Linked DNA regions of Diceros bicornis minor. The protein of the gene in region 1 purifies or fractionates together with the protein of each later gene. This does not show direct contact. Links are inferred from orthologs where the notes say so. Each region holds a gene or a part of one and is shown on either strand. Other genes may lie near its edges.

The links.
Region 2: the proteins of BCL10 (region 1) and BIRC3 purify together in Homo sapiens (affinity purification with western blotting; 5 studies listed by BioGRID and IntAct, with this or other methods). This does not show direct contact. The link is inferred for Diceros bicornis minor from reciprocal best matches to the Homo sapiens genes BCL10 and BIRC3.

The regions. Positions count from the first base shown.
Region 1 is NC_080743.1:21,670,669-21,682,158, forward strand, and holds the start of BCL10 (B-cell lymphoma/leukemia 10), read right to left. Parts: upstream 4,322-11,490; 5' UTR 4,065-4,321; coding exon 4,008-4,064; intron 1-4,007. UniProt on the Homo sapiens protein: Plays a key role in both adaptive and innate immune signaling by bridging CARD domain-containing proteins to immune activation.
Region 2 is NC_080746.1:32,652,906-32,663,930, forward strand, and holds the start of BIRC3 (baculoviral IAP repeat-containing protein 3), read right to left. Parts: upstream 4,701-11,025; 5' UTR 3,979-4,700; intron 3,692-3,978; 5' UTR 3,617-3,691; exon of another isoform or gene 3,582-3,616; intron 3,124-3,581; exon of another isoform or gene 3,013-3,123; intron 293-3,012; 5' UTR 1-292. UniProt on the Homo sapiens protein: Multi-functional protein which regulates not only caspases and apoptosis, but also modulates inflammatory signaling and immunity, mitogenic kinase signaling and cell proliferation, as well as cell invasion and metastasis.

The DNA.
Region 1 (11,490 bases):
GAGGGTTATATAAATTCTACTAATATTGAAACGCTGCTAGTTAATTAAAAAAAAAATTTTAAACACTGTGTTCTACCCTGACTTAAAGGATAGAGTTCCTCAACCATGGCAGAATAGTAGAGAAGTTAAGAGCACGGCTCTGAACTCAGACCAACCTCAAATCTTCAAATCCTCCATCTTGAATCTGCCACATACTCCTGTGAGAGCTGGGGCAAGTTATTTAACCTCTCTGATCTTCAAGGTTCCTTATGGATAAAATAATGATCAATACTTACCTCGCAGGACATCTAGAAGACTAAATGGAACACGGTATATGAATGTGACATAATCTCTGATACACAGTAGGTGCTCAATGAATAGCTATTTGAGGGGCTGGCCCGGTGGCATAGCGGTTAAGTGCACATGCTCTGCTGCGGCAGCCTGGGGTTCGGATCCCGGGCACGCACTGATGCACCGCTTGTCAAGCCACACTGTGGCGGTGTCCCATATAAAGTGGAGGAAGATGGGCACGGATGTTAGCCCAGGGCCAATCTCCCTCAGCAAAAAGAGGAGGATTGGCATGGATGTTAGCTCAGGGCTGATCTTCCTCACACACACAAAAAATAAATAAAAAATAAACAAAAAGAAAAAAATAGCTATTTGATAATGGCAGAGTGCTTCATAATATGGATCCTGCCTGCCTCTCCAGTTTAATCTATCACTTCTATCTGTCCCGGAACGTTACGTTCTACTTAAAACTGCTGTTTGTCACTACATTTCTTTATGTTACCTCTGTACTGTTTTCTTTTCTCATACCGCAAGTCCCTATTCATCCTTTAAAATTCAGGACAGTGGTCACCTCCTTCAGGTAGCTTTACCTAAACTCCCCAAAATGAGTTAGTACCCCTCTCCTCTGTCTTTACAGCGCCCCTGTGTATACATTTCACTTTTCTATATACCAGGACTCAACTTCCTAGACATTTCCATTCTGTCCCACTATTCTTCTCAAAGTTACCAATGACCCCCTTATTGCCAAATCTGATACTTTTCAGTCTCCATCTTCTCAGTAGCATGGACACAAGCGACCACTCCTTCCTTGAAATAATCTTTTCTTGTCTTATATGAATATCAACCACACTCTCCTGGCTTTCTTCTCATGTCTGTGGCTATAACTTCTCACTTTTAAAAACTCTTCTACAGTCGCCCTTTTCCCTTCTAGCTCTCAACTTCCTAGGTGAACTCATTCAATCTCACAATTATGTTTCTAGCTCAGATTTCTCTTCTGATCTTCAGACTTGTAGGTCTAATTGTTGATTTGACATTTCCACTTACTAATCTGATTCCACTCTCTTCCTCAACTCCCATACTCAATCCATCACCAAGTCCTATCATTTCTATTTCAAAAATGCATCTGGGGTTCTCCCGTTCCAACTATTTCCACCGCCCTCACCCTAATCTAAATCACCATCATCTCTCAATTACATCAATTCCAAGAGTCTCCTCACTGGCTTCCCTCTTCTCACTTTTGCTCTCCTCAGTCCATACAACAGACAGAGGGATCTTTAAAAAAATGTAACATCAATCTTCAATAGGTCCCCACTACACTTGAGGAAAAAAAACGAGCACTTTACCACCATCTGTAAGACCCTTCATGACCCGGCTCTAGTCCATCTTCCTAACTTCACCTCAGGGCACCCTATGCCTTTTTCCAATTTCCCCAAGTCATCAAGGCTTTACCTGTTTCAGGTCCTTTGCAAATTCTATTCTGCCCAGAATGCTCTTTCTCCAGTTCCGTCACATTCTTCAGGAACCAGTTTAAACGTAAGCTTCCCTGACCATCCTATCTCAAGTAGATTTCCTCTATTATTCTCTCAATACTTGTTTGTCTCCTTCATAGTACTTTCTATAACTTGTAATTATACATTTATTTGTTTTCAACCCTAATGATCTATATTTGAAGCAGGCAAGAATCAGGTATGTTTTGTTCTGTATACCTCGCACTTAGCAGAGTGTCAACTAGACAGTGTTTCAGATGGATGTAAAATTGATTGCACTTATTTTGTGATTTGTAATTACCATTTTACTTCTCTCTTCCTGCGCCACGCCCCCGCAGGAAATTGAGCTCTTCTCAAACTAGGATTCTCTCTTAGTTTTTAATTTTTGAACTATTAAAATCAACTACAGTATCAGCCTCACAGCAGCATGTAATTCATATTTATGAAACTGAACTAAATTCAATCAAAATAATGATGTAAATAAACAACTAGATGGGGCAGGTGAGGAGGAGGAGTACGGTGAAGAAGTGGGAGTTTCCAGGACATGTGGTGGTATACTATTCATTAAGACAGAGAATACAGCAGCAACTGCAAGAGCCTTGGGGGAGGGATGATAAAAAGTTTAATTTTAGACCAAGTGAGGGCTCTCAAGAATATAAAAGTGGATTTCCAGTAGATATTTGGAAATAAGTGCCTAGAGTTGAGAGAGAAGGAAGTCCAAATACGTAGATATTAAATTTAAAATCTTCTAAGGTCATAAACCATCCATGATTCCCCAAGGTTATGAATTTCTGATAGAGCTGTATAAATTGAAGTCATGGAGATGGATAATATCAATGAACTGATAGAAAAAAATAAAGGCCTGGAAGCCACTGTTCACATCTCTGTTGGTATATCCTCCCACTTGTAACCTTTCACTGCCTGTTTTACCAGCTGTAAAATGGGAATGACAATTATTAGAGGCTGCTGTAAAGTTTAAATGGGAACATTGTAAATTGTGTGACACAGCATCTGGAACATAGCAGGCCTAGCTCTCGAAGTTCATGGTTTTACTGGCACAAATCTTGAATAAGACAACACTCATTTATTCTATAGTTGTTATCAATGTCCCAGTCTTATCTCAACTAGAATGTAAAGCAGAGGCTTGATGGTCATTTTTTGTATCTTTCCAGGCCCAAGAACAGTACTTTCCATATGGTAAGTGCTCCATAAATATCTGCTGAATGAGGAAACTAAGGCACAGGTCCCAGTCATATCTAGTTTCCTTCTGCTAATGAGTCATACCAACTGTAATGATGAGTACAGTGTAATAAATCTTACAGGGGAGGGAAATGGGAGAGACTTGAAGTAAATGAACATTTAAAAAGCAGTTGTCTCGTCCAGTTCACAAAGGTGATTTTGTAAAAGTACCACAGTGTTAAGCCAGAACACACTTCTTGTTGAATTTCTACTTTTAATTTCAATTAATATGAAGTAGTTTAGTGGTACTCATATAGGTCTTATATGGCAAAACAAGTAACTAAAAGCAAAGGAAAAAGAGAAACAAGTCATACTGCAACAAAGCCATTCTTTAAGAATACTAAGATTTGTGCATTTCTGCAGTATCTAAGCAGAAGACCATAATTTAGCTTCTGAATATTTTCAACGCTTACTTCTAAATTAACTCTCGGCTACTTGTATTCATGCCCCCCCCTCAATTTAAATATGTGGGCGTTTGCTTACTAGGGGAATTCCAGGTTGTGCTTTCAGCTGTTGAGCTTCCCCCAACCCCCTTTGCAAAAAGTTTCACATATTTCCTCCACTGCTTAGGATCTTTTTATTGGTCCGGCTTTTGCTCCAGGTTGAGCCAGCAGCAAAGGAAATCAGACTCAAGGATGAACCCGAGCCGTCGATCCCTAACAACGCAGCTCCAAGGCGCAGCGGGGGAAAATCACCAGGGCACGGGCGAGGAGTGGGCGAGGAGCTGGCTGCGAAGAAGCGCTCCACTGAGCGAGGTTTCAGAAACCCTGGCCCTGCATGGAGTGATTTAAAACGTCGATTAACAGGTCACCGGGGGATCACTTCCACCAAGGTCCCTCGTATGCAGGGCTCGCTGCGGTCCCGCGACGCCTGGACCTTCCGCTCCTCCGACCCGCAGGCTCCTCGTCCGTCTCGGACTCGGACTCCGGGTTTCCGCTCTCCTGGTCCGCGGGGCTGCAGCCCACCCCCCCGCGCCCGCCCGCCGCGGCGCCTGGGCAAGGTTGTGCTACTCACGTCCTTCTTCACTTCAGTGAGGTCCTCCTCGGTGAGGGACGGCGCGGTGGGCTCCATGGCGGAGGCGGCAGATGGCGCTTCTTCCGGGTCGCGGAGCTCGGGCTGCGCCGCCCCGCCCAGGCTGGGGGCTTCGGCCTCCGGATGAGCGGGGAGACGGGGAGGTGGAGAAAGCCCAGAGGAAGAGGGCTGCCCCTTCGAAGACAGAGGGGATCCGTGGGTCAAACCGTGGCGCTTCCGGCTCTGCCCTTTAGGCCGACGACGCTGCAGACCTACGCGTCCCGACGCGGCGCTTGAGCAGCGCTCCACCTCCGCGCTAGAGCCTCAGGCGCAGGCACCGCCCCTCGGTGGGGCGGGGCCACCAGCAGAGCCCGCCCCATCTCTGCGGCAGCGAATCGGGGCGAGCCCGCGGGCCCAGACTTTCCCCGCCCCCCGGCCAGAGTCTTTCGGGAGTGGCTCCGCCCACAGCCTCCAGGTCGTTTGCATGTGGCCGCGGGTTGGCGTCTCCGAAAGGAATTATTTCCGTGGGTGGGACCGGTCGCTGCTCCGCCACCGGCACTCCCCGCCTTCGCAGACTGCTCGCTGGTGCAGTCCGGTCTCGGCTTGTCTGCACCTTTGAGTTCCTCCTCTTTTCCCAGACCCTGCCCTCCAATTTCCTGTTGCTGTGTTTGCCCACACAAGTTTTTAAATTATTTGGTCATGCACGCGCGCGCGCGCACACACACACACACACCCCCCCCACAAATACACAGCCTAACTACATTACAGAAACTTTGAAAAAGCACCTACAATCCCACCGCTTTAACACCTAGTTTAGCGTCTGCATACTTTTTGGTCACTGTTGATTGTAAACATACATATTTCCTTGTTTATTCATCTGTGTAATGATATATCTACCTCATAGAGCTGCTGTGAGAATTAAATATGTATATGTAAGGTTCTTAGAGGTACTTGGCACACAGTATGCAATCAATTTATTATTTATTATCTTGTCTTACTCAAACATTTATGGAGTCCTTATGAATATGTTCTAGGCATCTTATCCTGTAAGAGTTCTCCCATTTTGTTGGGGGAGACTGAAGGACAGACAATTATTCCCAGAATGGTATTCTAACAGAGGTGTATGCAAAGCAACATGAGTAAATGTGGGTGAGAAGCTTGAACAGAGCCCTGGCCCAACTGTTGTTTGGACAACATGCAAAATAACCGAGATGGTATTTGAAGCTACAAGGTAGATAAAAATGACAAGAGGACCAAAGACAAACTTGGGAACCCCAGCATTTAAGGGAAGGGAAACCAAGAGAATCAGAAAAGAACAGTGTTGCAAAAGCCACACCAATGAAGTTTTGATCACAACACAGGAATTCTGCTTTTAACACTAACATTGCATCATATATTTTTTTCCACCTTGATATGCCACATTTTTTCTGATTGCTTAATCTTCCATCCTTTTGGTACAACCCAATTTACTTAATCATTTGTTCTTTCATTTCACAAATAGTTATTGAATGTCAACTATATGCCAGACTCTGTTCTAGGGGAAACAGCTGTGAACAAAACAGATAAAAATCCCTTTCCTTCTGGAGTTTAAATTCTGGTGTCTTTGTGTTTGGGACAGGGCAGATAGATATTTGAAAAATGTAGTGTAAATTATTTGTTATGTTAGAAGATGATAAATGCTAAAAGGAAATATAATTCAGGGAAGTAGGATGAGGCTGTATGAAGTGGTAAAATTTAAAATATGCTGGTTAATGAAGACCTCACTGAAGAGGGGAGATTTGAGTTACTACTTGATGGAAATGAGGGAATGAGCCATGTGGACATAGGGAGAAAGAACATATGAGTAGACAGAAGAGCCAATGAAAAGCATCCATTGTGACTGGGAAGGAGATGAGGTCCTTGTGTGCCACTGTAAAAATTACTCTGACTTTGCTCTGAGTCATATTGGCTTACTCTGAGTCAGATGGGAAGCCACTGGAGGGTTCTGAGCAGAGAGGAGTGACATGATCCGATTTATGATTTGAAAAGGAGTACTTTCACTGTTGCCTTGAGGGGAAGGAGGATGGAAAAGGGGAGACCAGTTAGGGAGCTATGCCATAATCCAGCCCCAAAGGTGGTGGCTCAGACCAGGGTTGGTAGCAGTGAGGGTAGTGAGAAAATTTTGAAGAGAAGTGGGGAAGTGATTTCATTTCCTTTTAAAAGGATTACTCTGTCTGCTGAGTAGAGAGCAGACTGTAGGTGTAAGGGCGGAAGCAGAGAGCAGCTGGAGACTACCACAGAGATCCAGGCAAAGGTGAGGGTGGCATGATTGTGACAGGGGTGGGAGCAGTGGTGAGCACTCTCCCATAGTTACCTTAAGTTATTCCCAATTTTTCATTGTTATAAAAATTTTTTTCCTCTACATATTCCTCATTCTTTTTTCTTTTGAATTATCATTTGTTTTGCATAAATTCCCAGAAGCAGGAATACAGAGCACAAGGAAATGATGATTTTCTGTCTCTTCATGTATATTTCCATGGGTTGTCTCCAAAGTGTTGGTCCATCCGAGTGTGGGAATGAACTGTTTTGCCATAACCATACCAGCTCTGCTGGTGAAGGAGGGGATTCAGAACCCATCAGAGCAAAGTGATTTGAATGATGCCAATTTGACACACCCGTTTTGATCCAGCCATTATGAGGTTGCTGTTCTATTGTTGTTCTTTTTTTTTTTTGTGAGGAAGATCAGCCTTGAGCTAACATCTATTGCCAATCCTCCTCCTTTTTTTTCCCCCTTTTTCTCCCCAAAGCCCCAGTAGATAGTTGTATGTCATAGTTGCACATCCTTCTAGTTGCTGTATGTGGGACGCTGCCTCAGCATGGCTGGACACGTGATGTGTTGGTGCGCACCCAGGATCCTAATCCGGGCTGCCAGTAGCAGAGAACGTGCACTTAATCGATAAGCCACGGGGCCGGCCCCTATTATTGTTCTTTTTTAAACAAAACATTTCAAACACACTAAACTCTAAGGAAAAAATAATATTACAAACAACCTCTGTTCATTACCAAGATTTAACAAATATTGATACTTTGCCACATTTGCTTCTGCTATGGCTTTTGATTACCAAATATTAATGGGAGACATCTCTGATTCTTGAGCCTTCTTTCATTACCCTTGCTATACATCTGACTATTTCCTTGTTGTTGACCATCATTTCATTACTGATACCTCCAGCCTTCTTGCATCCTCAACATTCATTCCCTTATTTATTTATTCAACTAAAAAGTTAAATGTCTGCTATGTGTCAGAAGTAGGAGTTATGGAATGAGGATCAGGGATTGGGTGGGACTGGTGAGGAGCTTAGGAATTTTTAAAGCTGAAAGTTTAATATTTCATTTTTAAGGCCATGTCTCAATGTTTCCAAGTCAAACTATCTGTATCAAAGTAGCGATATCTGAATGCCACGTACCTAATCAGAGAGCTAGTTCCTGGTAGGCCTTGCAGTTCCCAATCCTGCTTTCTTTCTAGCGCATCGTACTTCCTTCATAAGCAAACTCATTTCCCCTTCTCTGCTAAATCACAGGGTCAGACTGTAATGAAGGTTGGGCATATTTTCAAGAAAATAGCCCTGCCCATTCTCTACCTTGCAATAATTCTCCCTCCCCCCACCTCCGTCCCCACCTCGACTTCTAGGTGCACCATCTCCCTCCTACGGTGAAATATGAGGCATCTGATAAATATGCTGTGAAGGATACAGTTAAGGTGCTACAAACATAAGGCAGCATATCATAGTGGCTAAGAATGAGGACGTTCGGCATCTGACAGACCTAGGCTGGTGTATTAGTTTCCCACGGCTGCCGTAACAAATTACCACAAACTGGGTGGCTTAAAACAAGAGAAATTTATTCTCACAGTTCTGGAGGCTGGAAGTCCAAAATTGGCAGGGCCGTGCTCTCTCTGAAGGCTCTAGGGAAGATCTTTCCTTGCCTCTTCCTAGCTTCTGGTGGCTGCCAGCACTCCTCGGCATTCCTTGGCTGGCGCAGCATAACTCCCATCTCTGCCTCCCTCTCCACCCGGCCTTCTTTTCTGCGTTCCTCCCATGTCTCTGTCTCCAAATTTCCTTCTTCTTATAAGGACACTAATTATTGGGTTTAGGGCCCGCTCTAATCCAGTATGACCTTATCTTAACTTGATTACCTCTGTAAAGACACTATTTTCAAATAAGGTCACATTGCAAGGTTCCAGTGGACGTGAATTTTGGGAAGACACTATTCAACTCGGTACAGTTGGAGTCTAGATTTGCCAGTTATTAGCTGTATGACCTGGGAACAATTAATAAGCATTCAGTAAAGATAGCTATTAGAGGAATGCAGAGGGAGGAAAGAGGAAACCATTTCTGACTGATAAGCCGACATGAAAGAGGTGTATTTAAACTGGGCTGGGGGATTTTAATAGGTGGCGCTTTAACTGCTGTTTAATGATTTATTTAAAACTTCCTGCCAGATACCAAGCATTGTATTGAGCAATGAATTCTATTCCAAGTAATTGTGAATGGTAAATTTCCTGTAAATAGTTAGAGGAAAAAAGTGGCCAGTTCTGAGACAGACACTCCTGGGTTTTAATGGCAAGACAATATGTGGTGGAATTCAGACATTTCAGCTCAGAGACTTTGTGAAGACTCCAGGTGGTGTGGTCCCCAGGAGTGACCACCAGCTTAGGAAGGGAGGACCAGGAGGGTGCAGGGTGGTGAGCGTGGACCTGAGCAAATGCTCTGAGGACATTGGCGAGTGCACCCTAAGAGTAGGACATTGTTGGGGCTGATGGGGGAACCTGAGAGAAGGGACCATTCCCTCTGCCTTCCCCCTAGAAGACTATTGGCTTGGAGAGTGAGGACAGGAATTTGGTATTAAAAGCTTGGATGTTTATGGGACAAGGTACCTCAAACATAGTTGAGGGGAGGCGATATCCCGTATACCAGCAGGAGAATCTTGAGGAAGCTGCTAGATCTTCCAGTTGTACTACTGTCTGGGAAGAAATCATCACTAGCAATTTATTTCATACTCACTCTGATCCAAGCACCTTATGTCTACTGTTGCAATTTAATCCCTATATCAGTTCTTCCAGGTAGGCTTTATCATCCTCACTTTACAGATGAGAAATCTGAGGCTTAGAAAATATGATTTGCCCAAGGTCACTCCTCTACCAAGTACAGAATCAAGATTTCAACTCAGCTCTGTCTGATAACAAGGCCGGTGTTCTCAGTTACTAGCTGTAGACTGAGCTAACTGCTTTAGGACGTAGTGATTCAGAGGAGCTGGGTTACTCCGACACTCCCTGGGGCAAGGCAAGAGGTAGAATGCATTCAGGTCTGTTCTCTGTGCCTGAGGTAGGAAATGGCAAAGCCAGGAAACTTATTATGGGATTTTCCAACTTCCTAAATGCAAAAGAGAACATCCCAAGATTTCAGGAAAGGGAGCTCTCAGGCTCTTGATGGACCCTGAACTGCAGCCTTATAAGAGCATCCTGCCAAGGCGGAGGAGGTCAAGGAATGGACCCCTGCTCCAGGCCTAGCGATGTAAGTGATGGAGCAGGACTCCAAAATGTAGCTTCAACCTAATTAAGCGGAAACCAAAGCTCAGGAATGTAGTAAGAGGACTTAGTGTATAGTGAGTTTCCACAAACTCACTCTCCTCTGGTGGATGAAACGATGATAACAAAACAGCTTCACAGGAATTCAGAGGTTCGTGGTTCTGTTAGATGGTACCTCAGGGGACACAGAAGGAACCTTGTAAATGAGAATGCCTGCTCCTGCTGAAGATCCTTGAGGCATTGTGCGCAACAGTGAGGGGGGCTGAAAACCAGAAGTGGTTAACTAATACAGGTTGCAGAAGGAGGAAGAGGGTGATGCTTGCAAACTCCGTGTTGGGCTCCATCACAGGCATAATTCCGGGAAGGCATATTAAAGGAGTAGCTCATGAATGCTTAGAGCAGCAGGGTGGGGTGATCACTGAGAGACAGCATGGCTTCCTTCAAAATCAGTCATGTCCTTTCCCATGAGTCATGGTTAGAATCAGAGGTTCTCAGTCTGCGCAGCTCATGAAAATCACTTGGAAGCAGATGTTGAAGTCCCACCACAGACAAATTTTTAAAAAATCTCTGGAAGCCTGAGTAGCTGATAGGTTTCCTTTTTCTCACAGTTATTGAGATATAATTCATATACCATACAATTCACCTATTTAAAGTATACAATTCAGTGGTTTTTATTATAGTCACAGAGTTGTGCAACCATCATCACAATCAATTTTAGAATATTTCATCACTCCAAAAAGAAACCTGTGCCCTTTAACCTTCACCTCATTCTTTCCATCTTTCCCAGCCCTAAGGCAACCATTAGTCTACTTTCTGTCTCTATAGATTGGCCTATTCTGGATATTTAATATAAATGAATTGATATAATATATGACCTTCTGTGTCTGGCTTCTTTCACTTAGCATAATGTTTTCAAGGCTCTGAAATGTAGCAGGAATCAGTACTTCATTCCTTTTTATGGCTGAATAATATTCCATTGTATGCCTATGCCACATTTTATTTATGCATTCATAAATTGGTAGGTATTTGGATTATTTCCACTTTTCGGCTGCTATCAATCATGTTATTATGAACACTTGTGTACAAGTTATTGTGTGAACATGTGTTTTCATTTTTCTTGGGTATATACCTAGAAGTAGAATTGCTGGGTCACATGATTACTCTATGTTTACCTTTTGAGGAGCAGTGGTAGTTTTGAAAACTTTCCAGTTGATTCTAATGAGATCATTAGAATCATAGTCAGGGCTGAGAACCAATGATACCGATAGAATGGTAAAACCCAGGACACACTCTGATGGTTTCAGGAAGACATTTGCAGCTTCAGGGAGACATTTCATAATCCTTGGGGATCCGGGTAGAACAGTGAAGTTGATTCATAGATGGTTTTCCAGCTATACCCAAGATACTAGTGATTGCTGTCAACATGCAGGGAAATGTGCCTTAGCACCCTATTCTCAACTCTTTTTGATTCACTATTTATACTAGTGACTTTGGGGGATGAATATCTGGGGCAGGAGTTTTCCAATTTTTTCCTAACAGTGTAATCTTTTCTTCCAATAAAATCCTCTGTGGAAGCTTAAAAGATTAAAACAGGTATAGGTGGAGGTTCTCTAGGGACCACTGAGAAGAGGGCGGGTTTTCAAGGCCCTGTCTATTGGGCCTTTAGAAGCTTCCTCTCTCACCTGCCCACCCAGCACCACCACCTCCGAGCCCTTCCTCAGAACACCCAGGGCTATATAGAACATCGTTTGAAAACCAGTGATCCGGAAGGTATTTTTTAAATTAATTTGTGGATAACCTCAAACAGAACATAAAATACTTTTAATGACAGACTCACGGTCAAGATGAACTCTAACAGGGATCAATGTAAGGTAAACAAAACAAAACAAAAACGGAACTTCTCTGGAATGGGTTATATTG
Region 2 (11,025 bases), on another chromosome or scaffold:
CCAGCTACAATCACTTCTCTTTTACATCCACAAGTCAAATTCAAAATCAAATTCATTATTACTTTATAGTTACACCTCACATAATTGAGATCATATTTTCAAAATTAACATTCTTTGGATACCAAAAACTCCAGTTGACTACTTTGTTTATTCATGCACAAAACTACCTCCCGGAGATTAGACTAAGTCCCTTTTAAGAGTTTTAGGCTTCCATTTTGAGATGTTTTGATTTATAGAAAAAAACTGGGGAAAAAATTAGAGGAAGTAGAACAGTTCACTTCTTTTGCAAAACCTGTTAAAAAAAAAAAAAGACAGTTTTAAAATCAAAAAATTCATAGATGTAACACAATCATCTCTTTTTAAACATTTTCTCCAAAACAGAGCACTAGTATTTACTGATTGTACCATGCACTGTGCTAGGTACCATAGAGGCCAAGAAATCCCAGATAAAAGCCAGAGGGCTCAAACTTGTGGCCAGCAGAGGAATTATGTTTGGCTTGCACAGAATTGAACTCTAGCGTTTTACAAATTTTTTTAACTTTTTATTGTGAAATTAATTTATACATAGAGAAAATGTACAAAAATAACAGAGTTCCCAAATACCCTGCCCTCAACTTCCCCAAAGTTAACATCTTACACAAACATAGTACAATTACAGAAACCAGGAAATTATCATTGATACAATGCTGTGAATTAATCTACATGCCTTATTTGAACTTCACCAGTTTTCCAAATAAGTTCTTTCTTGGACCACAATTATTTTTAAATGTTTTAATTAACTACCAACATTTTTAAAAATAAGAGATTTCCCATAACATTCTAGATTCCAAGCTTCTCATGTAAAATCAGAAGATCAGGCAACACTGGGCTTATATTCCTGCACGACAACAATCAACTAGTGCTGAACAGGGGCTGTACCCTTTAGAGAAGGCACGTGCTCTCCAGTCTGGCATCCTGAACAGAGACTGGCTGTCAGTTGCTATTTATCACTAAGCTGGCACTATTGTTTTTCATATAGTGGAATTACAAAGAAAGTGAAATTGTTCTAATACCTGTGTCTATCAAAAGTAACAAAAATGAAAGGTAGGCAAAGAGCAACACATGTTTTAAGAAATATAAGAGCACTATATTTCTTTATGGAGGGAAGAATATTCCTACATGTTAAATATGTAAACAAAGTGTGTTTTTGTTTAAATGAGACACCCACAGTTTTGTTCATTTATATCACCTGTCTGGCCTCTATGCATTTGAGATTACAAACCCCTTACACAGATCCTACATTAAAGAAGCTCTGGTGTGGACACAAGGCACGTTTGTGGAAATTTAGGCAACAGTTATACAATAAACATATAAACATATGCCAAGATGCCAACCCTGGATCAATTCAAACTCTGTCTTAACCATTTCCAACACCTAGACTTCTAAATGCTGCTGGGGAAGATCTGCCACCTTGCAGACTGGGACCAGCAAGACTTCAGACTCTTCCTTGGCTGGCCCTTCGCCATCCCTTAGCAATTTTCCTTATCCCTAGCCCACTGCCCTATGCAACTCTTCTAAACCTTCAATCCTTTCCTCAAATTTCTCCTCCACTACTCCCCATCTCGCTTTCAGTAGATTGCTTGGCCTTCTATTTCTCAAAGAAAAGAGACATCACTGAGCAGTAATCCTTTCACATTCTCAAATCCATGCTTATTTCACTCACAACCTACTTGCTGCCTCAGTTAAAGACACCTGCCCCTTTGCAGGATCCCATCCTCTCTCATCGCCTCTGAAATTTTGTTCTTAAGCCCATCCCCCTCACTTCTTCAACTCTTGCTCTCTACTGGCTCTTTTCCTCCAATATAATGAGCATGCTTAAGTCTGTCTCAGCTTTCAAATGAAAACAAACAAAAAAATCCTCTTTGGCCCCACTTTCCACTGGAGCAACTACCCTGTGTCTCACTTTCTCTTCACAGCCAAGAGAACTAACAAGTGTCTATGGTTAAGGTCTCCCACTACAATTAGCTTTAGCCAGCACCACTTAAAACTACTCTCGATATTAATAACAACAATCTCTTCTTTCCCAAAACCAATGGAAATTTTTGCATCTGACACTGGGGCCCATTTCCTCTTAGAAATGTTCTACTGGCTTGGCTTCTGTGATACCACCCTCTTGGAATTCCTCTTTCCTTTTTAGTGGTTCCCTCTCAGATTGGCTCAAGTCCCCAACCTCTTCTCCTCTTACACTTTCATTTCCGTTGGGCAACCTCCCTTATCCCAGGGTTGTTGTGTGTCTCTACCTTCTTGGGCACTTAGCATATCCATGTCTCTGAGACTGGGGGGTAAGTGTGCCTTTTCTTTCTTCCTCCCCCTAGACTGTGAGCTCCTTCAGAGCAGAACTATGTTTCAGCTCTGTTCCAGCCCTCCCACCCCCAACATCCATCCAGCCTGCCATATAATACAGACACTAAGACTTTTGGTTGAAGAAGTGAACGTTGGCAAACTTGACTGAGCCCCTCCATGACCATAACACTCTCATTTGCATGGTATTAAGGACCTCAATTTCATGTTAACTACAAAGTCTGCTCACTGACGGCTTAATGGAGTCAGACACCTTGGGTTTCCAATACTATTCAGTCTTCCCATACCAGGGGTGTGGCCTTGCTTGGGCAAGTAACTCTCCCTAAGCCTGAGTTTCCTCACTGTCAATGGAGATAATTATGGTAACTGCTTAAGACGGTGAGAATTAAACCTGAAAAACACATGTAAAGTGTTCGACAGGGGTCCTAGCATACTGGTAGGTATTAGCAACACCTACTGTTAGCAATAAATAATAGCAAACAAATTTAACATTATTGTTAGTTACTCTAGCATCGGGCAAATGCCTCTAGCACTTTGCTAACTAGATTAAGAGCACTACAGGGTTTCCATGCTGATCACCAGAGAAACAACCAACAATCTGCTTTCTGCCACCTCTTGGAAACAAACATTCCTTCATTTGTTCACTAAATAAAGATTTTACTGAGTCCTTACCATGCCTAAGCTCTGCTTCAGGCTCTGTCCTGTAGCTTATTTGGCACCCTCAAAGACCAGGTGATACCTCTTGGCAATCGAATTAAACCAATTGTCAAAGCTCTCCCATTCCACTTTCCCATCTCCTATTCCAGTTTCTTTTAAAAGTAAAATGGAAACTGAACACCGGCAGGAAGGCGGACGGAAGGTGAGGGCAGCGCGGGGCGGGGGGCACCCTCCCTCGCCCCGGGCCCCTGCCCTGCGCCCAGCGCCTCCCGGCGGCGGGAGAGCAAAGTCTCGGCGGCGGCGGTGGCGGGGACCGGCCGGAAGAGCGCCGGGAGGGGAGAGGCCCCCGGGCTCGCGGGGGACCCATTCTTTTGCCTGTCCCTGATCGGCTCGAGAGCCAATCTGGGGCCGACCTCGGGGCCCCGGAGCGGCGTTTGGATACGGTGCCACCCCGCTGACGGTCCTCCGCCGCGGGCCCCGCCCGCCCCTCCACAAGGAGCAGCGGACGCGTCCCCTACCCGCGCGGGAGGCGGGGAGCGCTTCACGCACACAGACACACGCGACACACTCACACGCACACTTACTCGCTCACAGCCTCGCAGCAGCCCTCGTCACCAACCTGCTGCCCCGAGGCCGATGCGCGCCAGCAAGGACGTCCTGGCCGAGTCTTCTCGGGTGACACCCGTCACCCCGCCTGTTCGGGAGGGCTAGAATGTCACGCTGCCTTTTGAATGTCTCACCCAGCTCGACCCACCCACCTCCCCACCCCCACCTCCATACACCCGGAGTCCTGTACTCCTCCCAGTGGTTTGCATGTGCGCTGGTGCTTTCCTCTTAGGACTTAGGGGAACTCCAGCGGTAATAACCACATACACTTCCCCTTAATCAATGGCCTGGCAAACCCACTCGGGGATTTCCATGACCCTAAAAGAGTGACTATTTCTTAACCGTGGCGTATCCTCGTGGCATTTACTGAAAGACCTTTGCTTCATTGTTCGTGGGTCAGAGGAAATCTTGATAAGCCGTGTAGAGACGATGATCACTGGTCTGCCTGACCGGAAAAGATCCATCTCCCATGTGATAAAAAGAAAAGACAAGACCAAAACTTTGTGACATCTCTCTGATAATTTTTACTTTCTGTTCTAAACAAGAAAGTAAGGCAGGAATGGAAATGTAGGGGTATGTAAAAAAATCACACATTTTCCTTTTCAGTTTATTTTTACTGTTTTAAAGATTGAGATTACCTTATTAGCTTCCTATATTGAAAGTTGGGGGGGGGCGGTGCGCTTTTTATAACTAAGGTAGAGCTGGCTGTAAAAACAATTCCTCCTTTTAGCCTTTTATCTCACAGGAGGGATCTCTAAGTTATGGTGATATTCTCATGGAAACCTGAAGTCTGAGTCTCACTGCACTGCCATGTTTTCCTCAACATTCTGTAAGCGATGAATTTGAGCAGCTTTATTTCAGGACAGTGCACGCCAGGGTAACGGATTGAGACAGCTCAGGTGATTTTCCTGTCTTCCAGTATATCAAAGGTGATCGGGAACCAAAGGCAGAACCCATAATATTATTCACGAATTCCTCATCCTGTGGAAAAAGGAAGGACGCCCGTTCTATTCAGTACAGTCAGGATGAGCTGGGGTATCTTCTAGGTGGATTTGGCTGCTCACAGCAGTTAGAGTTCCAGCTGGAATTATATCAAGAAGATTATCTATCATGTGGAGATTTCAATCCAATTTTGAACCTGCTAGTTCAAAATTTTATAAACCATTTCCCACTCACCTTTGAGATGATGGAAACCACTTTGTGGTCCTTATACACTTTTGATCAGGTACCTACCAAAAGAATTTTGAAAAATTCGACTTCTCTGCACTTTTTACCTTAACATTAAAACACAAACGCTGTGGTTGCAAAGGAACTACAAAATGTAGACATAGATATTTTAGATTAAAATTGATCTTGCACTGTTTTAAATTATTTCAATGAACTACAAATACCATAGCCATCTGATACCCATGATCATCCATTAAACAATTCATACATCAGCTCATCTTTAATAATTGGAAATATTATATCATTGCCGTTTGTCCTTGAATATTCTACTTCCCCCACAGAATTTTAATATATGTTTAAAATGGACATCTTTATGATCACTCTGGCACATATTTCTGAAACAAATATGTGTATAAATTGAAATTTAATTTTTTTCCTGTGATCATAAGACTCTAAATGTTAAAGAAAAATTTTTCCTTGATTGAATTATCATTGATACTACTTTCATTACTTATTACATGATTGGCCAAAACAATATAAATATGTTATAAATGTTGATAACTACTAAAGATAAAAAGTAAAATTCTATTACAAATGCAATCTTAATGGGAGTTGCACCTTATATTTGAACAGTTTTTTCAAGTATGTGTTCATGAATATTACCTATTACTGGAATATGGTAGGGTTCAGCATAGATTCTGTTCCTTTTTTTCGTTTCTTAAAATTATAAGCACTGAAAAACCTTTTTCACATAAATAAGTAGATAGGCCCAGAAGAAATGTTATTATATCAATTTTTTCACAATTTTTTGAACTTCTGTTTTATAGTCCAAAAACTCATTTACTGATCTTTAATCCAAAAATTTAATTAGTTATCAGTAGACAACTCAATTTGTTGAAATCAGTGACTTGGAAACCACAGGACTTTTGTTACCCAGATAAGGTTGCCAGAATTAGCAAATTAAAATACAGGACACCTAGTTAAATTTAAATTTAAGATAAACAACAGGTAATTTTTTAGTATAAGTATGTCCCTCTCAATAGAGTATTCACTGAATACATTATTCATTGATTATCCGCAATTCAAATTTAACTGGATGTCCTATATTTTATATGGCAACTCTATATCCAGATATTAGAGTCATTCATTTTCTCAACACTAACGCCAATTACTTCTAATTGTCCAGGAAGATTTTACACCCAGGGGCAATACACCATTTTAAAACACAAGATGGGTGAGAGGTGAGCCTGTCTTTTTTAAGAAGAGAGAACAACTGTGAAGAGGTTGGTGAGAAGACAGAACAGGCCTAGCAACCACAACAGCTCTTGTTTTTAGGCAGATCAGTTTTAGGAGCAACTATATGTAGAAATCGAGGATCAGGTGGTTAATTCCCTTAAAACTATTTGCGTTCCCACTTGCCCATTACTAAATCTTTGTAAAGACTTGGTAAGTTCACTCAAAGGAACACATCCCAATTTAAAGACCATGGCCTAGGAAATCCTGAACTGACTAGAACTCCCAAGTTCTTCAAACTAGTAAAGAGAGTTGGGATCAGACCTATGAGGGCCTGGAGTGGATCAATATGTCTCCTTTGCAACATTCTGTAACACAATTATTGATTTTTTTTAAGTAATTTTTTTCCTGTAACAATTCTAAGTTGCATATGAGCAAGGACTGTATATATTTTGTTCACTGCATTATTCTAGTACTAGCAGGGTACCTGCAAATGTAGGCGCTTAATAAATCTTTGTAGATGACTGACAAAAATGGAGTCAATCTATCCACTTCGGCCTTTTCTATTCTAAATCTGCACCCAAATTTTTGATAGTGTAATATACTTTACATTTTCCCTCTGATCCTTTGAATATCCCAAATATTTTATATAAAAACTCCCCTTTTGCTCCCAGCATCCAGCTTATCTAAATATATTTTCTCTCCAAATACTCTTTTACAGGCAGAAGTAAAAGAAATGTTTGAGAAAGTGACAAGGTAGACAGACACATGGCCATCACTATCTCTAGTTTGCCAGTTTTTCTCTCTGTTAATGTGTAAGCAGGGTGTGAGAAGTGTGTGAGATGCTTTTTCATCCCACTCCTGGTTTGGAACTTTGAGAACTCTTAACAGTGGTGTGTTCTCAATATCCTATTATTAAACAATCAACTTTAAAGTATTTTTTAACTTGAAGGTAATCATGATAAAAAATATTCTTTCTCTGGAAGGAATTTCACATAATAATAATGCTGTAACAACTTCAGTTCCAGCCTGATGCTATTTCACTGTAAGTTTTTACATTTTTAATTACAGAAATACATTATCTAGGAATCTAGGACTGAAAGTAAAAGTGAAATCTAACAAAAGAACCATGCTGTTCTGATCCCAAAATAAATGTAAGAATCATTGTCAATGCTAGGAATTTCCTAGTCTGTTGACAACTGCATATCTTACAGATAAAATATGATTAGATCAGCCTTGAACAAGTGCTGATGAATTTACAAAAAAATATCTTTTAGTACAGATGGACTCAATGTTCTCAATGTGGTGAAGTTTGCCCTTATAAATGGTTGGTTACTTTTGATTTCTTTGTTTGACAGTACTTTAATGACATATAATTTACACAGTCTAAACTGCAAATATCTTAAGTGTACAGCTCATGAATTTTAACAAATGTATATACTTGGGTGACCATCAACCAGAGCAAGATCAAGAACATTTTCCATCACACCAGGAAATTTCTTCACGCCTTTTTCCTGTCAGTATCTACCTATATCCCCCATCCTCCAGCCTCAACCACTATTCTGATTTCTATCCCCATAGATTTGGTTCTTGAACTTCATATAAATGAATCACACGATGTGTACCCATAAGGGGCTCTTTCACTCAATATAGTTTTAGTTTTATCCACATTGTAGCATGTATGAGTAGTTCGTTCTTTTTATTGCCAAGTGGTATTCCACTGGATGAATATACCATAGTTTATCTGTTCTCCTGCTGATGGACATTTGGGTTGTTTCCTGGTTTGGTCCCTTGTGAATAGTGAAGCTATGAACATTTCAGTTCAAGCCTTTTTGTGAATCTATGGGTTCATTTCTATTGCGTAAACACCTGGACATGGAATTGCCATTGGGTAGGTGTATGTTTATTTTTATTAGAAACTGCCAAAAACTTTTACAAAGTATTCGCACCATTTTACACTCCCACCGGCAATATATAAGAATTCTAGTTGCTGAACATCCTTCCTAAGACTTAGTATTGTCAACTATTTGAATTTGACCTCTTCTTTTGAATGTGTAGTGCTAGCTCATTATGCTTTTAATTTTTATTTCCCTGGTGATTAATCATGTTGAATATATTTTCATATGCTTTTTAATTATTTAGATATCATCTTTTGTGAAGGACCTTTTCAAATCTTCTGTCCATTTTTAAATTGAATCAATTGACATTTTATTATTGATTTAAGGGCGTTCTTTACATATTCTGGATATGAGTCCTTTGTTATGTGCATTGTGAATACTTTCTCCAAATTGGTGGCCTGCTTTTTGTCTTTATTAACAGTTTCTTTTAATGAATAGAATATTTTAATTCTGATGAAGTCTAATGTAACAATTTTTTTCTTTTATGTATAGTGCATTTTATATCCCATTTAAGAAATCTTTACCTACCCCAAGATCATAAAGATTTTCTTCTATGTTTTCTTTTAGAAGTTTTGTGATACTAGCTTTTACACTTAGGACTATGATTCATCTCAAATTAATGTTTGCATATGATGTGAGTTGAGGACCAAGGTTCATTTTTTTCTCTAAATATTATTCCAACACAATTTATTGAAAAGAATCCCCTCCCCACTTAAGTGCTTTAGTGTCTTTGTCAAAAATCAATTGAACTTATACACGGCAGTTTCTTTCTGGACTCTCTATTCTGTTCTATTAATCTATTTGTCTATCCTTATGCCAGTACCATACTGTGTTTATCACTGTATCTTTACAGTAAGCATTGATATCAGATAGCGTAAGTCCTCTATCTTTGTTCTTTGAAACTGTTTTGGCTATTCTAAGTTTTTTAAATTTTCATATAACTTTTAGAATTGTCTTCTGAATATCTTGTTAAAAGTTGCTGGGAATTTGATTAGCATTACATTTAGTCTATAGATCAATTTGAAAAGTATTAACATTTTAATGTTATTGAGTCTTCTAATCCGTGAGCATGGTATATTCCTCCATCTATTTGTCTTCTTTGTTTTCAGTACAAAGATGTTTCTCATCCTTTTGTTAAGTTTATTCCTATTTCATATTTTTGATGCTATTTTAAATACTATTTTTTAATTTAGATTTTCAATTGTTAATAGTATTTTTAAATTGCACGTTCAGTTATTTGTTGTTAGTATGTAGAAATAAAATTTATTTTAGTGTAAGTGTAGTAGTGTTTTATCCTACTACGTTGCTAAATTCACTTGTAGTCATTTCTTAGATTCTTCTGGATTTTCTTTAGCAAGCTATCAGGTCATCTATAGATAAAAGCAATTATATTTCCTCATTTCCTATTTTTATTCCTTTTTTTTCTTGCTTTATTGTACAACTCAGGACCTCTACTACAATGATGAATAGACTTGGCTAGAGTCAACATTCTTGCTTTACTCCTGACCTTAGGGAAAAAGTGCTGTTAACTATAGATTTCTCATAGATATTCTTTATCAGATTGAGAAAGTTTCTTTCTACTCTTAGTATACCAAGAGTTTTTTAAAATCATAAACGGGAGCTCTATCTATAGAGATGATCAGATAGCTTTTCTTCTTTATTCTGCTAATATGAAGAATTACATTGATTAATTTATGAGTATTAAACCAACTTTGTCTTTCTAAGATAAACTTCACTTTTTCATGATGTAATATCTTTATTACATATTTCTAGATTTAATTTTCTAGTATTTTGGTTAGGATTTTTGTGTTAAGGGTGGAAAAAGAGAGCAATAAGGGGGAAAAATGGAAATAGGATAATTGAGGTACCAAGAGAACACAGAACATCACTAGGACAAAATATTCAGATTTGGTGGAGAAGATAAGAACTAATTAAAAGTCAACAACTTATATTAAACACCGTTACTGTTTAGTGAAGAAAAAAACATGATAAAATATACTTATTATGTTTGATCCCATGACGTATTTCTGTGGTTGTTGTTAGTGCTGTCAAGTCAATTCTGACTCCTAGAGACCCTGTGTACAGCAGAGTGGAACCCTGCCCAGTCTTTTTGTGCCATCCTCTCTCATCTTCCTGTGCTATATCAGACAATGCTCTGCTGCTATTGCTATTCATAGGGTTTTCATGGTCAATTTTTTTGGAAATGGATGGCCAGGTCCTTCTTTCTTGTCTGTCTCAGTCTGGAAGACTCTGCTGAAACCTGTCCACCCTGGGTGATTCTGCTGCTATTTGAAATACCGGTGGCATAGCTTTCAGCATCCCAGCAACACGCAGCCACCACAGTATGACAACTGACAGACGGTGGTGTGGTCCCCTGACCAGGAAGCAAACCTGGGCCACAGCAGTGAGAGCACCGAATCTTAATCACTAGACCACAAGGGCTAGCTGAAGTAAGTATTAGTAGCAAAATTTCAGAGCCATGGGAGCTGTGGTAGTGGCCCAATATTCACATCAGCCAAGAATAATTAGCTGAAGTAGGTCACAGGTGTAAGCAGTTAGCAGCTTTCACAGCATTTGGGGTTTGGTGCATGGGGAGATCAAGCAGGCCAGTTCGTGACTGAAGGCTAAAGAACACTAGGTGTCTGCCCTCGGACCTGACCAATTTTTATAGGAGCCAAACCACATGATTTCTTTGAGGGTGAAAATGTTGGAGCTGACAGTCTCCTGTGCTGGCTAGGAAACATCACTCTCAGACCTGGGGAAGCTTGTTTTGAGCAAAAGAACTGGGCTAAGAAGACTAGAAGAGGTTGCAGGAGAGAGAATATCTAACTAGCTGTTGTGTTTAGGAGGACTCTAGTGTTGACTTGTTTTCCCATTCTCAAGGCTTTCTAGCCTTCCACTGCTGACTCCATGCCTGTGTAGGCTTGAATACATTTCTAAGACCCAGAAGTTTTAAAAAACGAGGTGATCAATTCCAGACGCCTACCTCCTTCATTCTATCATTTTCCCCACTGATAAGGTATAGGAAGAGGAACATAGGGAAATACCAGGATTCTTAGAGCCAAGCAGACTCGCTGTTGTCTGAGGAGAGGGTGTAGGATCACAACCCCTCTCTCAATGGCAC